Schizosaccharomyces pombe: one gene and its partners. The gene in region 1 interacts genetically with each later gene. Each region holds a gene or a part of one and is shown on either strand. Other genes may lie near its edges.

Evidence for each region. Genes that interact genetically often act in the same process or in processes that back each other up.
Region 2: mutations in ppr8 (region 1) and caf16 together harm fitness less than expected from each alone (positive genetic interaction), as found in Schizosaccharomyces pombe (one large-scale study listed by BioGRID).
Region 3: mutations in ppr8 (region 1) and cce1 together harm fitness more than expected from each alone (negative genetic interaction), as found in Schizosaccharomyces pombe (one large-scale study listed by BioGRID).

The regions. Positions count from the first base shown.
Region 1 is NC_003423.3:4,393,005-4,400,714, forward strand, and holds ppr8 (PPR repeat-containing protein Ppr8), read right to left. Parts: upstream 2,444-7,710; 5' UTR 2,433-2,443; coding exon 2,253-2,432; intron 2,208-2,252; coding exon 942-2,207; 3' UTR 606-941; downstream 1-605. Other genes in the region: DNA-directed RNA polymerase I and III subunit Rpc40, read right to left, coding at 3,049-4,095; uap1 (UDP-N-acetylglucosamine diphosphorylase Uap1/Qri1(predicted)), read left to right, coding at 4,336-5,763; TIM23 translocase complex subunit Tim21, read left to right, coding at 6,316-6,987; adn2 (transcription factor), read right to left, coding at 7,612-7,710. UniProt on the Schizosaccharomyces pombe protein: Mitochondrial RNA-binding protein involved in mitochondrial translation. The cox1 mRNA is one target but it is not clear if ppr8 has a single or multiple targets.
Region 2 is NC_003424.3:4,810,027-4,815,531, reverse strand, and holds caf16 (CCR4-Not complex subunit Caf16), read right to left. Parts: upstream 3,565-5,505; 5' UTR 3,434-3,564; coding exon 3,310-3,433; exon of another isoform or gene 3,231-3,309; coding exon 3,111-3,230; exon of another isoform or gene 3,066-3,110; coding exon 2,467-3,065; 3' UTR 2,353-2,466; downstream 1-2,352. Other genes in the region: formin Fus1, read left to right, coding at 1-2,307; histone H2B-K119 ubiquitin ligase complex (HULC) subunit Shf1, read left to right, coding at 4,265-4,762; phosphoinositide phospholipase C Plc1, read right to left, coding at 5,047-5,505.
Region 3 is NC_003424.3:4,294,584-4,299,474, forward strand, and holds cce1 (cruciform cutting endonuclease Cce1), read right to left. Parts: upstream 3,323-4,891; coding exon 2,546-3,322; 3' UTR 2,353-2,545; downstream 1-2,352. Other genes in the region: SPOM_SPAC25G10.01 (mRNA splicing or mRNA surveillance facor), read left to right, coding at 793-1,686. UniProt on the Schizosaccharomyces pombe protein: Capable of resolving Holliday junctions. Specific for 4-way junctions. Seems to be important for the maintenance of mitochondrial DNA. Cleaves fixed junctions at the point of strand exchange. Cleaves after 5'-CT-3' and 5'-TT-3' sequences.

The DNA.
Region 1 (7,710 bases):
AGCACTGAATTTAACAAGTGCATCTAATAATGCTGTTACGGCGTATACAGCATCCTTGCAAATATAAGCATTGCTAAACATAACTCATTTATGTTTTATAGACATTACTTTCAAAACATCAAATTTTTCTATTTATATGCTCTTTTTAACAACCACCATACCTAAATGAATTACTATTTTAAACTTAGTATATTTTCTAGGCAGCGTATTTTTTGCGAGATAAGCAGTTAAAATTTAAACTAATACTTTAATGTAAAGCAAAATTTGTGATTCATAGAGTACAATAAAGCACTTTGGTCTCACATTAATACAATGACATACACCGACCCCAGCTGTTTGAGTGCATATAAAGCATTAAAATATAGTGATAATAATTTAACTTACAAATTTTCCACTAGCAAGACATACCTACAAATACCGGGAAAAATATCCTCTAATATTCGTTTAAAGCTGTCTTTAACAGCATAACTTAGCGCGGTTTAAATCCCTTACTTTTCGTACTTGTCATAAACCAGGCAAAGCTTCTAAGTATTTCAAACTATCCATATCTCTTGAGAATAAACAGGTGTTTTTAGATGCTAAACTATTAAGACGAACACAAAACCTGTATCTGGAATAAAAAAATATATATTTAATATAAAAGATGGCTATAGCAAAAAACAGAAAGGAGTATGTACGTTAAGGAAAATTAACAAATATCAAAGAGGTAAACAATTAAACCCATCCAGGTAACTTCATAAAACGAAAATCAAAAATCACCACCGAAACGTTCCTAAATAAAATAAATAACTCAATTTGTGAAAGTGTGGGACATATTAAAAGATGGGAGTGAACACTTTTGAACTTTAATGCATGCAGGTAATATGGCTGTGATGTACACATTTAATCGTAATCTCGTTAAAAGGAAGAACTATATGAGATTATCCAAAGTGCAAAAAAATTTATGGCGAACGTATATGTTTACCGTATTTTGATAGCACCATATTCAGAAATTGCAGGCAACTTTGTTGATCATCTCTGTCAGGTTGAGATAGAATGCAGTCCTTTAGGAGATTTATTTCTTTATCTGCAACAGAAATGGAAATAGCTTCAAGACGATACTCAAGATTTACCCAAGCCTGCGAAATTTGCTCACATGTGCTTGGCAATAAACAGTATGCTTTCAATAATGACCGATAAGTGACATGAGTAGGCTTTAACCCGTACTTGTCTATCATATCAAATCCAGCAGAAAGCCATTTTACATCCTTTAAACGACTAGCAATAGAGAACAAGGTGTTGGCAGTACTAATGGATGGTTTGAACTCCTTTACATCTGACATCTTGTTGATAAACGTAGTGATAAAGTCGGTAGCCTTTTTAATATCCCGATCTCGTTCAAATTGCTTCATTGAAAGACTTAAAATAGCATTTGTCAAACGAGTGATATCTTTGGGTGACACTGAAAGATAATAATCGAAAATAGTTAGCAAAGGATCTAGAGAATGGTGTGCTTCAAAAAGTCTTTGAAGTAACCAAACGGTTGTATAGATCGTTGGTAGATTTCTTTCGTTAAGATTAGAATTTTTCAGATAAGCAGCAGCTTGATCGACGAGACCTTTGTTGACAAACACTGAAATAATGACATCGGAGTGAAAACTTGTTAGTCCGTTAAATTGAACTAAAGCTTTATGAGCTTTACTGCTAATACCTTGATCTTTGAAAACAGTATAAATCAAATACACAGCAACCAATTCATTTACAACTTCTTTCCCTTCAAGTTGCTCGTGAATGGCTGAACCTATTTTTCCACACTGTTCAAAACTGGCACCTCCAAGTATCTTAGCTTGAAGTGCTGAGATGTAGAGGTTGCCTAAAACTCGTTCATCTTTAGGTAAAAACTCCATATGGCTTAAGCTCATATCAGCAATTAATGAAGCCTTGTCAAAAAGGTTTAGGTCGATATATGATTGGAGCATAATTCGCCAAAACCTAGCAGAGGCAATCTCTTGGTGTTCAATTGCATATCGAAGTATATCATCAAGTTTGTCGAGAGTAGCTTCATCTACATTACCTCTCCCATTGAGCATTTTAATCCGATCTACCAAAAACAAAATGTATCTATTAATGGTTTGACTATCTAAAATGCCAAATGGTTTCAGGCTGCTGAAAGTAGCAACGGTTTCCGTATACTTGCGCGCCTTCATTTCATCATTTAATTGTTTCAGCTATTTACCTGTTAGAAAAAGGTGGAAACATCAGCCTTTACATACCAAATTTTGAGAATTCTGCCTTACATGTTGTTGAGTTTCAGCGGTGAATGAAGTTTGTAACCCAGAATGTAAAGGCGGAGCGGTGAAAAGGGTACGCGTATTTTGTAAAAGTGCATCTGACACTTTAGCATTACTACTACGCAGCAATTTCCGAAAAATTTGGCTCCCAAATCCTTGCATGGTATACGCTTGGGGTAAGTTTGTTGTTGCTGAGTCATGTTGTGGCTACTCTCTACTCAGTCAGGATTGATCTAGAAAAGATCAGCAAAATGGCGTTTCCTGAATATGTTAGAACTGATTCTATTTTATTTTTCTTTTCCTATAATAGTTCAATCATGTAGTAACAAAGCAACTTAACTAAGACTCTGCTGCATGCTTAGGCACATTCTTTGCAAATTAGTTAAAACCGGCATTTACAATATTTTTAAAATTTATACAATCAGTCTAGTTTAATTTAGGTAATTTAATAGATAGGACTTCAAAATCCCTGTAAAAATATAATGAAAAGTAATTTTTTCAGTTGCATCAATTAAAGGCGTCGCTTTCATATAAATTCTCAAAGCATTTTATAAGGACTTTCAAAGGATGGCAAGTAGTGATTGAAAACCAACACTTCTTTTTAAAAGGTCTACTGGTTATCAACAAAATACATGTCTATGATGAATTAAATTTAAAATTAAAGAAAGGACAAAATGTTAATATTGAAATATAGAAATCAATAACTTTCAAAAGTATATTTTTTAACAGCGTACCCAATTATCCAAAAGATTACATATAAAACTAATTTAACAGACATTCAGTCAGAAGAAATATTCTGAAGACTAGACTTTACGGCTAGACATTTCGATTTTAGGACTGCAATGCTTTTAATGAACAAGACATCGGGCTTCATAATACCGGTGCTTTCAACAGAAAACAAATAATGATCGCGTACGCGGCCTAATTGCACCTTATCTGCAAATTCGGGATGTCTCAAGCATTCGCGGGATACGGTGTCTTTTCGAACGTCTGCTACACGGGCTTGTTTTTTACCATCAGGTCCTTCTTCAAGCTCGATGACTCCTTTAGGGAAGCATTTTTGAAATTTAACTGCATCTTCACCTTCAATAGGAGACAAGATATGTATAGTAGGCAATAAGCGGTAGGAGGCAGTAGCAACAGGAGAAAACTTAGCATGGTCTTGTCCAATACCTAAGATTGCATGAGCTTCTAAATCGATTTCCTGGCCAGGACGCAATTTTGCAACAACAATATCTGGGTTGACTACTCGTATAGGATTGTCAGCAAATCGCTCTTCCTGTCGACCTTGCGGTTTCCAAATTAGATCACCCGAATAAACCTCAGAGTTAACGTAAAGTCTCTTTGGATCTTTTTCATCTGTAGCGGCATTCTTATTAAACTCGCATTTCTTATTAAGGGAAAAGACAACAGTATCGTAATCAGTATGAGTTGCCTCTTGTCCTGGCAGAGGATGTTGAAACCATTTAAACATGTCAGGATCAGCAGATATAGGTACAAGACCTATTCTGTGAGACAAAACCTCATCTTGTATTATGCTCGTATTGTTTATGATATACACGAACTCAAATGCAAGAGTTGGGATCTCGGCGATTAAAATCCTCCTAAATGCATTTGCAATGGATGCATCAATTCCAGAAATTTCAAATACCATTGTTTCTTGATCGAGAGACGTAATCGAAACTTTTAAATTTTTTTTAAATTTATCAAGATCCCAGATGTTGTCTTCATCAAAATAATAACCTGGAAAATCTACACTTCCTACATCTGTAACACGATCAGAAAGGACAGAGATTTCTGTCCTTGATCTGTCAACCGCTGCCATTTTTAATTTTATGAAAAAAACGGTGAGAAGTTGCAATATAAACTTTTAAAACCTTTATATGCGTAAAAATTCGCTATTGTGTGGTAAACACGATAGTGCGAATAAAAGTAAGACATTGCAAATTAACTGACAATAGTAGTAGAGCACTTGAAGAAGCGTAAATAGCATTTTTTTAGCGATTCAAGTTTGCCAAACATTCATTTTTTTTTTTTAGACTGTATTTATAACGCTAAATACGAAATGGACGACAAAGAATTGTTTGATCGGTCTATATTTGAAGAAACTAATCAGTTACATTTGTATGATCAATTGAATTATTTAAAAAAGAATGACCTGCAAAAGTTTAGGAAACTTTTAAATCAAGTTCAGCAATTGGACTTACGGTCATTGTGGTTGAAGTATCGAAATGCTAAAGCGACAAGCCAAGAGAACAGAAAATTGTCCCCTTCAGAAGTTGGTCCACTATCTATTGTAGATACGTCTGACTCAAGTTGGTGGAGAACAGGTCTTCGGGAAATTGCTAGAGGTCATGTAGCTGCCTTAGTATTGGCAGGAGGTCAAGGCACTCGACTTGGGTTTGCTGGTCCAAAAGGTTGCTTTAGACTTGGGCTGCCTAATAATCCGAGCATCTTTGAGCTGCAGGCACAAAAAATTAAGAAATCGTTGGCGCTCGCCAGAGCCGCATTTCCCGATCAAGAAGCCTCTATAAGCATTCCATGGTATATAATGGTTTCTGAATGTACGTCAGAGGAGACAATTTCTTTTTTTAAGGAGAATGATTTCTTTGGTATTGATAAGAAAGACGTTTTTTTCTTCCAGCAAGGAGTTTTACCTTGTCTAGATATCTCAGGTAGGGTCCTTTTTGAATCTGATTCTTCATTAGCTTGGGCTCCTAACGGCAATGGAGGTATTTATGAAGCTTTGCTTTCCTCTGGTGCATTGAATGATATGAATAGAAGAGGTATACTCCATATTACGGCTTATAGCGTTGACAATGTTCTTGTTTTGCCGGTTGATCCTGTATTCATAGGAATGGCTACTACTAAAAAACTTGAGGTTGCCACTAAAACTGTTGAAAAAATCGATCCTGCTGAAAAAGTGGGTCTCCTTGTATCTTCCCATAATCATCCTTGTGTTGTAGAGTACTCTGAAATTTCTGACGAAGCATGCAAAGCTACAGAAAATGTTGATGGTCACAAGCATTTGCTGCTTCGTGCGGCTAACATTGCATACCATTATTTCTCTTTTGATTTCTTACAGAAAGCTTCTTTGCACTCAAGTACCCTTCCTATTCACCTTGCATGCAAGAAAATTCCATTTTACGACGTAACGTCTCATCATTATACTACACCTTTAAATCCCAATGGATATAAACTTGAGAGTTTTATTTTCGATTTGTTTCCCAGTGTGTCAGTTGAAAATTTTGGATGTTTCCAGGTACCACGTAGGACTTCATTTAGTCCTCTAAAAAATTCAAGTAAATCTCCCAATGACAACCATGAAACTTGTGTAAACGATATTTTGAGTTTAGGTAAAAGCTGGATTTTAAAGAATGGTGGTATCTTAAGTCCAAGCGACTGCACCTATGTTTCCCCAGAATGTAGTTTACAAGGAGAATCACTCGAGTGGATTAAAGGGAAGCAGGTTAGCAATTGTAAACTTTACTAGTTTCCTCTCCTATATTCAACTATTTTTAAAGGTTTATATAAACAATGTAACAAAGTCAATGTGATAAATTTATTTACTTTCATTTTATATTGTACAATAATCGTCGAAGCACTAATTGCTGTTCTTAATCAGCAAATCAACATTCAGGATTTCAATTACGGTTTTACTTCGATTGTTAATATATTAATTTAATAAATTAATTGACCGTGCGTTTATTGAATTTATTAGTGACTGAAAATTTTCTAAATCATCTTCCACCTAATTCGCTTTCGTTCATTTTAAAATAACCCTGACTTTTAATATATCGTTGTTTAATCATGATGTTGCATTATTACTCCTTTCTTTTCAAGCTAAATACTCTCAAATTTTAGTATGCTTTTTACTAAATTACCTGACTAACGGAATAATGAGGTGTAACAACCATATCACTGCTAAAGCTCAAAAATTTAACGAACTACATTGCATCCTATGTCGAGCTCACTAGACATTGCCTTTATGCCGTTTAGCCTCGTCACTATATACATCTTCTTTGCATCTTTTTGTATCAACTAGATGATTCGTACTATTCAAAGGCAGAGCGCTACAAGGTTTTCTTCAGCTTTGGTTCAGAGGAGATTATACTCTTTGGCTTCTGATTCTCTCAATAAACAACGGAAACCACAAGAAGAAGGGCGCCTGGCACGAATTTTCAAAGATCCGTCTAACAAAGCTTGGAAGGATTTGACGGCTCCTCAAAAAGCATACAGAACTTCTGCTAATATTGGAAATTTTTCGATTGTGATATTTGGAGGCGGCGTTTTCGGATTGATTATATATGCACTTGTCACTAGTATCTGGAAGGGCGAGGCACATTACGGTGATGAAGCTTTTGAACTTTTAAAGGCTAATGAAGAATGTCGATATGTTTTTGGAGATCACATGAAAGCCCTAGGTGAAGCCACGCATCCTCTTCGTCGAACTCATGGTATATTGACTAGTCGTGTGTGGGATCACCATGGTGTAGAACATCTAGTACTACAATTTCACTTAATCGGTAATGAGAGAAAAGGGCACGTATTTGGAAGACTTGTAAATGTTCAAGGTGACTATAAATGGGAATATCTTTTCGTTGATGTTGCAAATTACGGAAAAATCATAATTTTTGATCATACCAATTCTGTACGACAACAACATAAGAATTTTGGTTTATGGGGAAGCTTAAAAAATATTACATGGGGAAATTAGAATTTCCGAATGATAAACGCACGACGGAAAGGTATAGCTGTTAATTTCAACCGAAAAGGAAATCATTGAATTATTTCTCGATTTTAATGGTTTGATTAATGGTTTTTCGCAGAGAATTAATTTTCTAATTTACGAATTAATTTACAGGCGATGTTAATGATTTTTATCAGAATTAGCACACTTAGTTATGCAGTATTTGGATGTATATTGCAAAAAATAAAAAAATCGTCGACACTTTATTACTAATTAAGCGATCGAACCTCATGATTTGTTGTTTAATTAGTTAGTATAAAGAAGCGAATTTGTACGAGGGGCCTTTTCGCAGGGGCTGATTAATCGCCAATCTAATGTACTACCTAAATGTGTTTAGTTATAAAAAATATAAGAATGATTCAAAGCACATGAAATAATTTTGATTATTAGATATAAAGTACAAGATGTAGGCCGGTATTTATAACCGAGTACACTAATCCATATCCAACTAGCAATTAATTATATATTAAATTTTTATAATGACAAAACGCAACGCATTCAAAAAAGATGAAAAAATCTGGTATATAATTTCCAAATAAACAAATTAAAAAAGAAGAAAAACAAGGATAAAATACTTAAGTTTCGACAAAATTAAGCAGCAGTCGAGTCTTCATTATCCGGCAAATTAAACAATCCAAACCATAAATCGTCACCAGTACTAGTATCTTTTAAAAATTTGTCGAAGTCAAA
Region 2 (5,505 bases), on another chromosome or scaffold:
TCTTCCTTTTCAGCCGAAAAAATTTTTAGTAAACTAAAGCACTTACTGACGCGTACGCGCGATTCATACATTTCCGAAGATACCAAAATTCTTCGATTATTGAACCGATCAAGTAGTAAACTGCAAGATCGTGACCAAGAGTATTTAATTTCTAAAAACAATGTGAATGGAAATGGAAACAGAGATTGGGTTCAACCCGTGAACACTACCTCTAGCGTTAGTGCTTTTGCTTCACCAAGGATAAAACCTAAACTGCTTTTTCAACCAAATCAGGATGAAAAATTAAAACTTTGCAAATTAGATCTAGCTAAAGCAAACTCAATCACTTTAAAATCCGAGCCATCTTCCGCTGTTTCAACGCATTCTTTTGAGGTTCATCTGAGTATGCCAGGAACACAAATAAAAAGTGCTAACTTAGCAGAAAAAATGGAAACTTCAAAACACAAGGTTTTTAATCCAAAAAGGATTGATGTTGTTAGTGATCTTCCCTTAGACTATCGAAAGTCGTACTATGGCCGATTTTCCATAACTGATACCAAGAGGTTTTCTAAAATAGAAAATATGAGAATCAAAGAAGTTATTGATGGGAATCCATTCAAAGCTCCACCTCCTGCACCATTACCACCTCCTGCACCTCCTTTACCAACTGCAATGTCTTCTCTCCAGAAATTTGAAAAAAATGATTCACAAATTTTTCGGAAGACGATAATTATTCCCGAAAATATTTCAATCGATGACATATTTAAATTCTGTTCAGGTTCAGAGTCTGAAGTGTATGCAAGCAAAATTCCTGGTGAGCTATGCAATCCTTCTAAACGGCTAAAGCAGCTTCATTGGAAACGCCTCGAAGTTCCTTTCGAAAAAACTCTATGGAATATTGTAGTTGCAGATCCTTATTTATTAACTTTAAAACTTACTGCGGAAGGGATTTTTAAGCAACTCGAAGATTGTTATCCATTGAGAGAAGTAACAGTTTCCAATAAAAAAGTTAAGGAATATACCGGATTTATGCCAGTTGATTTACAGCAAATGGTTAGTATTCGTTTGCATAGATTCAATTCCTTGACACCAATTGAAATTGCCAAAAAATTTTTTCATTGCGACCATGATATCATGGAACTAGTCGATTTTTTTAATGACCGAAAGTTTTTTCGACAAGAAGGTCTTAAAAAGCAACTAAAGCCTTATATGTCATCTCGAAACGAAGAGGTAATGGAAGTAAGTGAAAAGCTTTTAGAATTGTCTCGTTTCGATCAAATTTATACGTTAATTGTTGTTGACATTGATACTTATTACGAAAAAAGAATGGCAGCTTTAAAAATCAAATCGTTTCTGGCCAACAACTTTAGGGATTTTAGAAGACAAATAAGGAAACTTCATTGTGCTTCTTTAGAGTTGAAATCTAGTTTGCATTTCAAGTATTTTTTAAATTTGGTCCTTCATATTGGCAATTTTATGAATGATGCACCCCGTCGAGCTAAAGGGTATCGATTGGAAAGTTTACTAAGAGCTTCCATGATTAAAAATGACAAAACAGGATTAACACTTCTTCATACTATTGAAAAAATAGTTCGGACTCACTTTCCACAATTGGAAGCTTTTCTCGTGGATTTGAAAGCCATTCCCGAGATTTCCAGATTTAATTTGGAGCAGTTGGAGCAGGATTGTAATGATATTTGTGAACGGATGAAAAATGTTGAAAAGGACTTTAGCAATGAAGGCATTTTTTCGAATCATAAAGCTCTTCATCCTGATGACCATATCTGTGAAGTCATGGTTCCATGGATTCCATCAGGAAAATCAATGGTGGATGAACTTAATTCTGATATTACTGAACTAAAAACAACCCTTAAAACAACTCTCTTAATGTATGGTGAAAATCCAGATGAACCTACATCGAGTGCTAGGTTTTTCAATAATTTAAACGAAATAATACTGGAGTACAAAAAGGCTAGCACTGTAAATCAGAAGATGGAGAAGGAAGAAGAACTTGCTTTTCTAAGACTACAAGCTTTAAAAGCATCTGTTAAAAGCAATAATGCAGAAAATAGTGGTTCTTCAAAGAATGAGGAAGTTTCAGCAACAATGGAAAATTTAATATCTCAGCTACAGAAAGGTTTGTGTGATGATTCTTTAAGCAACAAAACCGATTGCACTGAATCATCGAAACAAACAATCGAAACTCTAATGAATTATGAAAATGATAAACAAACTCTAGAAGGCTCAAATAAAAAGAGACAAACAGTCGTCCTTAAAGCTGAATGCATGCTTAAGCAGCTGGAGAATAACAATGAACTTAAGAGATAATGATGTTTGAAATGTTAATGACTTTTAATGACAATTAAATGACTTAAACAAATTATAATGAAATTATAATTAATAAAAGGTATAATTATTAATTCTAGTAAGACTGTAATGCTTGTTAAAGATAGAATTAAGCATCTAAAGGATAACTTTTCTAGTAATCTATTTTGCTCGGGAAATCTTAAAGTAATCAGTAAATACATCAGTTCCAACTTTTAATGATTCTTGAACGTCGTCCCAGGTACTACGCTTTTCCTCTTCTCGAGTTCCCCTATTTTTTTTGTCTTCTTTGAGCCATTCCAAACATGTCTCTAGAAGGGCGCTATTTCCCGTAGAGGACCTTGTCATCAGAGCACCAAACTTGGATATTGGTCCATAATCCACGATACGCCCAAGACTGAGATGGACCAAGTGAGTTGGCCACTCAGCTAAACCATCAAATATATGTGTTGCATAAACAATAGTAGCATTCCTTACTTCCGTTTCCTCTTGCAAAAAATTTAACAAATCTGCCCGGGCAAGAACATCCAAATCTACAGTTACTTCATCAAGTAAAAGTACTTCAAATGGACGCAGAAGTCCCATACATAGTTGAACACGTCGTCTTTCACCATCGGACACTGCATGCATTCGCCAACGAAGATCTATATCAAGAATTGAAATCAAGAAATCCCTACGTTCGGCAAATTTATCTCCTCCAACAGAAGCAATTAATCGTGCAACACTCATATCCCTATGTATAACAGGGTTGTTAACCCATTCTACAAACGCACACATCAGTAAAATTTGATGTTAAAAGAACTTACCAGTTCCTAAATAAACAAATGCAGAACTAGACTCACGAAAAGGATCTTTACCACCCACCGATATATGTCCTGCTTTCGCAAGCGATTTTCCAGATAAAAGTTTAAGTAAAGTTGATTTTCCTGTTTAACAAAATTCCAAGAGGACATCAGTTAGCATTTAAATATTCTTCATCAATTTCCATAACACCGCGAAACTTACCAGCTCCATTGGCTCCAACAAGTAAAGTCCTTGATCCTTTAGGAAGATCTAAAGTTACGTGATCAAGACTTAAAGGCTGCTTTGGAGAAAACGTGTAAGAGAGGTTTGAAACAGTTACTTCCATTTTGAAATAGAATGTTTTAACAGTAGTAAAATATAATTATCTAAGAACTTAGTTTTACAATATATAAAGGATCCAAAAAAAGGCGCAAATTAAATAACACTCAAACTTTGTGGGTTAGCTGGATTGTGTTTAGTACATCTGTGTATCAAGTAAAGTGTGGAGGGAATGCAGTAAAGTTGTTATAAGCAAGACCTCGTACTAATAAATTAGCTTTCCAAGTCTTTGTAAAGAACCTTTTTTAACTATTAAGTAATGCTGCCCATATTTGGAGATGCTATTAAGACCTTGAACACACATCCTGCGGAGTCTTGGAAAGAAAAATGATTAACATCGATGGAACAATTGGCAAACAATATATATAGGAGATAGAAGCAGATAACATTTGTAATCAACTACAATTTATGCTACATATTATTTGGCTTAAAACTAAGTAATAATACTTTCCTAAGGTCACCCCATTTCGTTTAAGACAACAGACAAACCTAACATTCGCATGGAATTTTTTAACAGCAGGCGGACATTTCTCAAATAAAAAAATATAAATATAATATTATTTCATTCCTGCTAAACGATTTTAGCTTTTCAACGTAGTATTGCCCATATCATTAGACTTAATATATTAAACAACAAACAAACATCGATATGGGCGAAGGGCTTTATATAACGCGGTACGTAAAATAGTCTTACCTCAAACCGTTTTCTCACACCGTGATTTTAATTGAATTAAGTATTACTATTTTTCGGTTCTTTAACCAATTGTTTTAATTAGATAGTGTACATTTTTCGTGAAAAAAAAGAACCATTAATATCAGCACTTAATTATTCACTTTAATGAGCAGCAGAAGAAATGACTACCACTATGATGGAAACGACCACCAGTATCGTAGTCCTTTGAAATCAAACGTTGATCAAAACAGTTTTTATGAATCTAGTTATAGGAGCCGACAATCCTACCATCAAAGAACAAAAACACCCAGATCTAGTTATGATTCACCCTCTTCATCTACAAATTCCAAGGAACACAATTCTCCCTATCATTATAGAGTCCCTAGCAATAATTCAACAAGAGCGTCTTTTGGGGCAGCTTCTACGGATACGAATGTAGAATTGCCGAAGATTAATCTTCCAGACTCGAGTTTGTCAAGTAAACTTCAAAGCTGCAAGTCTGCGTGCGAGAATTCATCCCAGAGTTTATTGAATGTCGAACAACAATACGCTCAACAAGTACATTTTTGGGAAAAAATTAGAACGGATATATACCGAGAAGGTCTACGTAGTGATGCAGCTGTAAAAAGCTTAAACGATTTTGTAAATAATGTCAGCTTCTAAATAAATTATTGCAATCATCGTCTGCGTACAAATCATTGAGCTTCCGCTTTGTGGATATTATTATGACTTTTTATTGAAAGTTTTATCCCAAACCCATATTTATAAACATGAATGTTTTTGTATAGCGTTTTTTTTTTTAAAAAAAAAAAATAAAAATAAAAAAACGCTTCATACACTCTAAACATTCTCAGACTACTTCGGTTCTCTCCCTTTTAACGTATAATATGCATTTTAGATTTTCTGAAGTTTCATTACGGTGAAAGTGCTGTAATGGACACAGCGTTCTAAATGTCTTCTTTTTTAATTTTCAAAAACAAACTCGAAAATAACAAATTTTCGCCTTGCATATCCAATAAACGAATATGTCTATAGCCTTGTTGCAGTCTGTCAATCGGACAAGTAAAATTAGCAAATATAGAGTCATTTCCATTACTTCCTCGATGATGGACGAGAAATCGGATCATGGAATAAAAGTCATCACTAATTATACTCTCATAAACCATGGTTTCTCCCCAAAAAGGTCGAAATCCATTTTCGTGCACAACTTTGGAACACCAACGAAAAGGAGATTCTTCCATTGAATGAACTTGGATCTCAACATAAGGGCTGAGAGTTTCAGAATTAGAAAGTTCTCTAGCTCTTCTAAGTTGTTGCCCAGATATGACATCTATTGTTAATTTTATTTTACGAGGAAGTCCTTCTTCGCCAACTGTTGTACCAATTATTCGTTGACAAGGTGGCTT
Region 3 (4,891 bases), on another chromosome or scaffold:
AGCTTAAAAATAACCCTTGGAACAAAAACGAACATTATAAAAATTAAGCAAAAAGTATTTTTATACCACGTTACCTTTTTACTGCCTCTCCCTGACTTTATCGGCTTAGCGAAATGGAGTGAAGTTACCATATATAAACCTGAATAGTATTAAGATATACCTACACTGTATTGGTGATATAGCTTGCAAAGATAAGAATATAAAATTATTGTTGAATGTAAACTTCTCTAATCCAGTGAAGTGATTTTCTATAGCGTTTAGAAATTGCGTTTTCCCCAAAAGTCAATATGGCAATCTGTCGGGTGAAATTGAATTCCCCCACGATGCTGTTTAAATCAATTTATAATTTTTATCGAGTATTGTTGAATTATGGGGGGGTTCTTTCTTACATTTTAATTTATACTATCATAATATATACACTTTGGATTGAAAAAAAACTCTCTTACTGACTACTATTTACTTCTTGTCAACTTATGCGGTGCACCCCACTATACTTCGCTACGACCTATAGCTTAAATTACGCTAGGTTAGTCGGAATCTTAAGGTCGTTGCAGAGACGCGACACATATACTTCCCCATTCATTAATTGCAGGAATTTTGATTTACAATTGATTTCGCTTGTTTTGAATTAGGTTCGGAAACTTTGATAAACATTTGGTATTCTTCTTGTTGCTTTCTTGGTCATTCACCCATTTTATCTGATTGAACCCCAATTGCTGCATTTGTAAGCCTCTTTAGCAGCCAAGGCAATTTTAAAATTTCCCTTTATTCATCATATACTTTATTTGAGAAATGGATACTCTACCTCCCGCGACATCTGAGGAATCATTTGAAATCCCAAACGCCGACGTAGCTGGTTCGGCAGTTTTAGAAACGGAAACTTCTCAGGATATACACCAACTTGAGATTGAGAAAGATGCTGGGGAGACAGACTCTGACGCAGGGTCTATTGCTATGAATGTACACCAGCTTGACACTGCGGGGGAACCTTTGCAGTCGATGAACGAAGATGAAGTCGACCCGAACAATGAATCTACTGCTCTCGATAAGAAAGAGCCGCAAAGCGCTCCTGAAGGATCCGAAAATCTAGGCAATGATTTATTTGTTAGTGGAATTGCTTCCAGAATGCAAGAGGACGAGCTTCAGCAAATCTTCTCCAAGTTTGGTACTGTTACTCATGTGAGAATCATGAGAGAACCAGTTACAAAAGCTTCAAGGGGTTTTGGGTTCTTATCATTTTCAACTGTTGAGGAAGCAACCTCAGCTATTGACAATTTGAACTCTCAGGAATTTTACGGACGAGTACTTAACGTTCAGAAAGCCAAGCGATCTCGCCCTCATTCTCCAACTCCAGGAAAATATATGGGCTATGATAGAAGAAGAAATTCCAGGGATTTTCCAAGCAACAATAAAGATGGGGGATATCGTAGAAATAATTATCGTGACCGCGATTCTAATAGATATCGAAACTCTTATCGTCCATCTAGGCCTCAACGAGAACATTCTCCCGGAAATTACCGCAAAGAAAGATACAACGTTGATTCAAGACCGAGAAGAGAGCGACATTTCCATGGAAGGTCCTTTGCTCATGCAGAGCATCATTCTGTTCCTAACATGCGCAATGATACCCCAGGTAATGAAGCCTTACCTTCACACTCTTCGGTGCCTCCAAACGAAGATCAATAATTAACAATTTGCTTAATATAACCTTTTTATCATATATCGCTACTCTTTTTGAGTTTCCTTTGCTTACTTTCATTTAATGAAAACCTTTTATAGTTAACAGTTTATGATTCGTTATACCTTAGGTTCGTTTACTTTTCTTCCTTGTATAAACGGTCTATTGCTTATTATATTAAATTTTCCCTGAAAGCTATCATGTACCAATTTCCAAAAGGTGTGTGTGTTTTCCACGTGTTTATACTACTAATTTTTTCTCGTCTTTCTTTACTTTAGGGATTAAATCTTGTGTAAATGCGTGTTATCCAGGGTTTACTCTGTTGGGGAACTAAACAATCACGAGTTGCGTTTTTTTATGTTTTTTTTAAAGGATCTCAGACGCTATCATGGTCCTCTTATGACTTTTGTGGCTTCACTGCAAGTTCTACTTTTTTCTTTACGTCTTCAAAGCCGTTTCATACAAATTTATTATAAAAAATTTCATTTTTCGGTGCTGTTATTGGTGCTTTTGTATGCATGAAATATAGAGGATATAAACTTGGGTTTTTGAAATGAGCAAGGTCGGGTTGCTATTTTTAAGGCCTTATTACCTTTTTTTGTTTGTCATCATTCTTATTTTTTTTAAAAAATTCATTTCATGTTCTTTATGTTTTGTTATTTTTCATCGTTGAAGTTTAGAATAATGCTCAAAGAAGATCTTTGATACATGTGCCTGCATTCCTTTTGTTATCATTATTAATTTTATGAATTTAGTTTAATTTCTTCCTTTTTTATAGGATCATGAAATGCAATATACGATAGTTTTTCTTTGAATAAAACTACAATATACAAATTGGCTAAACATTCGTACGGCAATCGTTCATTTCTATTGTTTCAGAAACTGTTTGCAAAAGTTTCTATAATGCTTCAGTTGGGCTTGCCATCTCATCCAACCGCTTGCAATCAAAGCAGAATCTGCCATATCGTCCTTTTTAAATTCAACCCTAGAACCGTTGTTCCATTTATACAGAGCTTCTTCATTTTCAAATAGGATTTTTTGACCATCTATTAATTCCTTGACCATTTGTACTCTACTCTTCTTCTTTGAAAAAGATGCTTTCGTATTCAAAACTGATGCCCAATACGAGTATGTAGATTTTGGGGACAGAGAAAGAAGGAAAGGATATTGTATTTTCTGTTCGATTGAATTTCTTTTTTCTGCGTAGTGTAACGCATACAGCATGCTTTCAAGCATATTTACTCGTAGCGTCCACTCTGGAATCGTAGCAATACCGGAACGATAACGCTGGCGTTCCATAAGAATGACATGCGGATTGAATTTTTCGTGTAATGTATTAAACAGTTGTATTGAAAGATCAGCCATGGAGCTAGGCTGGAAGTCTTCGGTCCATTGTATATCAAGCCCATTTTTTTCAGTTAGATTTTCAACAGACCAATTGTGGATAATAACTTTAGAATCTTCATTTTGACTTGCAAAGCAGTAAGAGAAATTTTTGATTCCCAAGTCAATACCAAGTACCCGAGAGGTGGGATAAATAGGAGAGTCAACAATTCTTCGAAGCAACTCATCCTTTCTTCCACTTCTTGACAATCCAGTTAACTTACAGATGTGCTGTAAAAAACTAAGTTTCACAGTAGCCATTCTGTAAAAAAGAATAAATTGACATAAAGAAACGGATATGAAGTTGTAAACCTATAGCAATGATTATGTTTTTTTTTTTTGCAAAAACAAGGAAACGAGGCAGTAAGAATTGAGTTTATTCAAATAAGAAAAAATGATTATTTCTCTTAAAATGAATTGTTTTTAGAAGTGAACAGTTTTAGATGCTAGATGCAAACGTGAAAGATAGTATATGGTAATACAAAAAACGAAGGATTGGTAAATGGGAGTCCGGGAATTTTTATTTCACTTACGAGTAGAAACATGTAATTTTTTTTCTTTTATTCCATAAGCTTGCGATGTTTGAAGTCGTTGACAACGTCTTGCTTAGTTCAAACTGCTAGTCACCTGGGAATTATCTGAATAAATAAGCATTAAAATATGAACAAAGATTGGCGAGTCCAAGTTTATGTGAAATATCAACAACGATATACGTCGATTCATAGGAGGTTTGAACTCATCAACCTAAAGTTAGAAATACATGGCAAAAGAAATTTATCACAGATTGTTAATATGTTTGCAATCAGACATTGACTTAAATCAATTCTTAAGACTTGTTTGTAAGTGAGCAAGTTTATTATTGTTTTATGAATGATCGAGGTTGTGTAAAATGGCACAGTTTGTATTTGAAAGCTAATTTGGAATCCACAAAATTTAAGATATATAACAGAAAAGCTTTTATACAGCTGAAGTCTTCATTTAATACCCCGAATCCGTCATTGTCTTTTATTATAATACCGAGTTTCTATGCAAGTTAGGTAAAACTCCATATTTGAAGTCTTGGACATTGAAATACTTAAACTGTAACATTTGTTTTAAACTATTAGGATTAAATTTTCAAAGTTTTGATGGCACACATTGTACTATAGTTAGCAAGTATATAGAACGGCGATGGTTGACAAAAATGAACTACAAATGTAACCACGGAATGAACGTGAAGGTTTATCGGATTTTGATTTTAACGCTGTTTAATTTGTATTCAGCTACCTTTAACATTAATGATGAATTTCTGCTATTGGATTTCTAAAACTCCTCTGAAAGCATATAGCAGACAATGTCTTACGCAAATACAAAAAATGCTTTAAGGATTTCAAAGCGTTTTCCACTGATTTTTTTCTTATGCAAAAAGCAAATCTATTACTGACTTTAAGCTTGAACTTCAATCATTCTCATTTCTATTTCGTTTCCATATTCTATTATAGAGGATCTGTCAAGTAACATGTTTTGTATTTGATTCTTTTTTTACACAAGCAGCACTAGTATGAATAAGTTTTAAGAAGAATATGACTTTGTTCCGGAATATATTAACTGACTGAAAAGTAGAGAATATACTGTTTTTAGAAAAAAAAAATTGCGAATTGTCTGACGCACTATTGTTTCAATATATGAACCGTTGTTGGGGATGAAAAATGTTCAGTAAAAACCCCAAACTTAAAACTTATTGCGCATGTAGATCTAAAGTAGTTTATTCAATTAACTATTCGACTGACTATTACAACTGGGCCATTGATATATAAAATGAGCGAATATTCTAATGGCTTTAGAATTTTC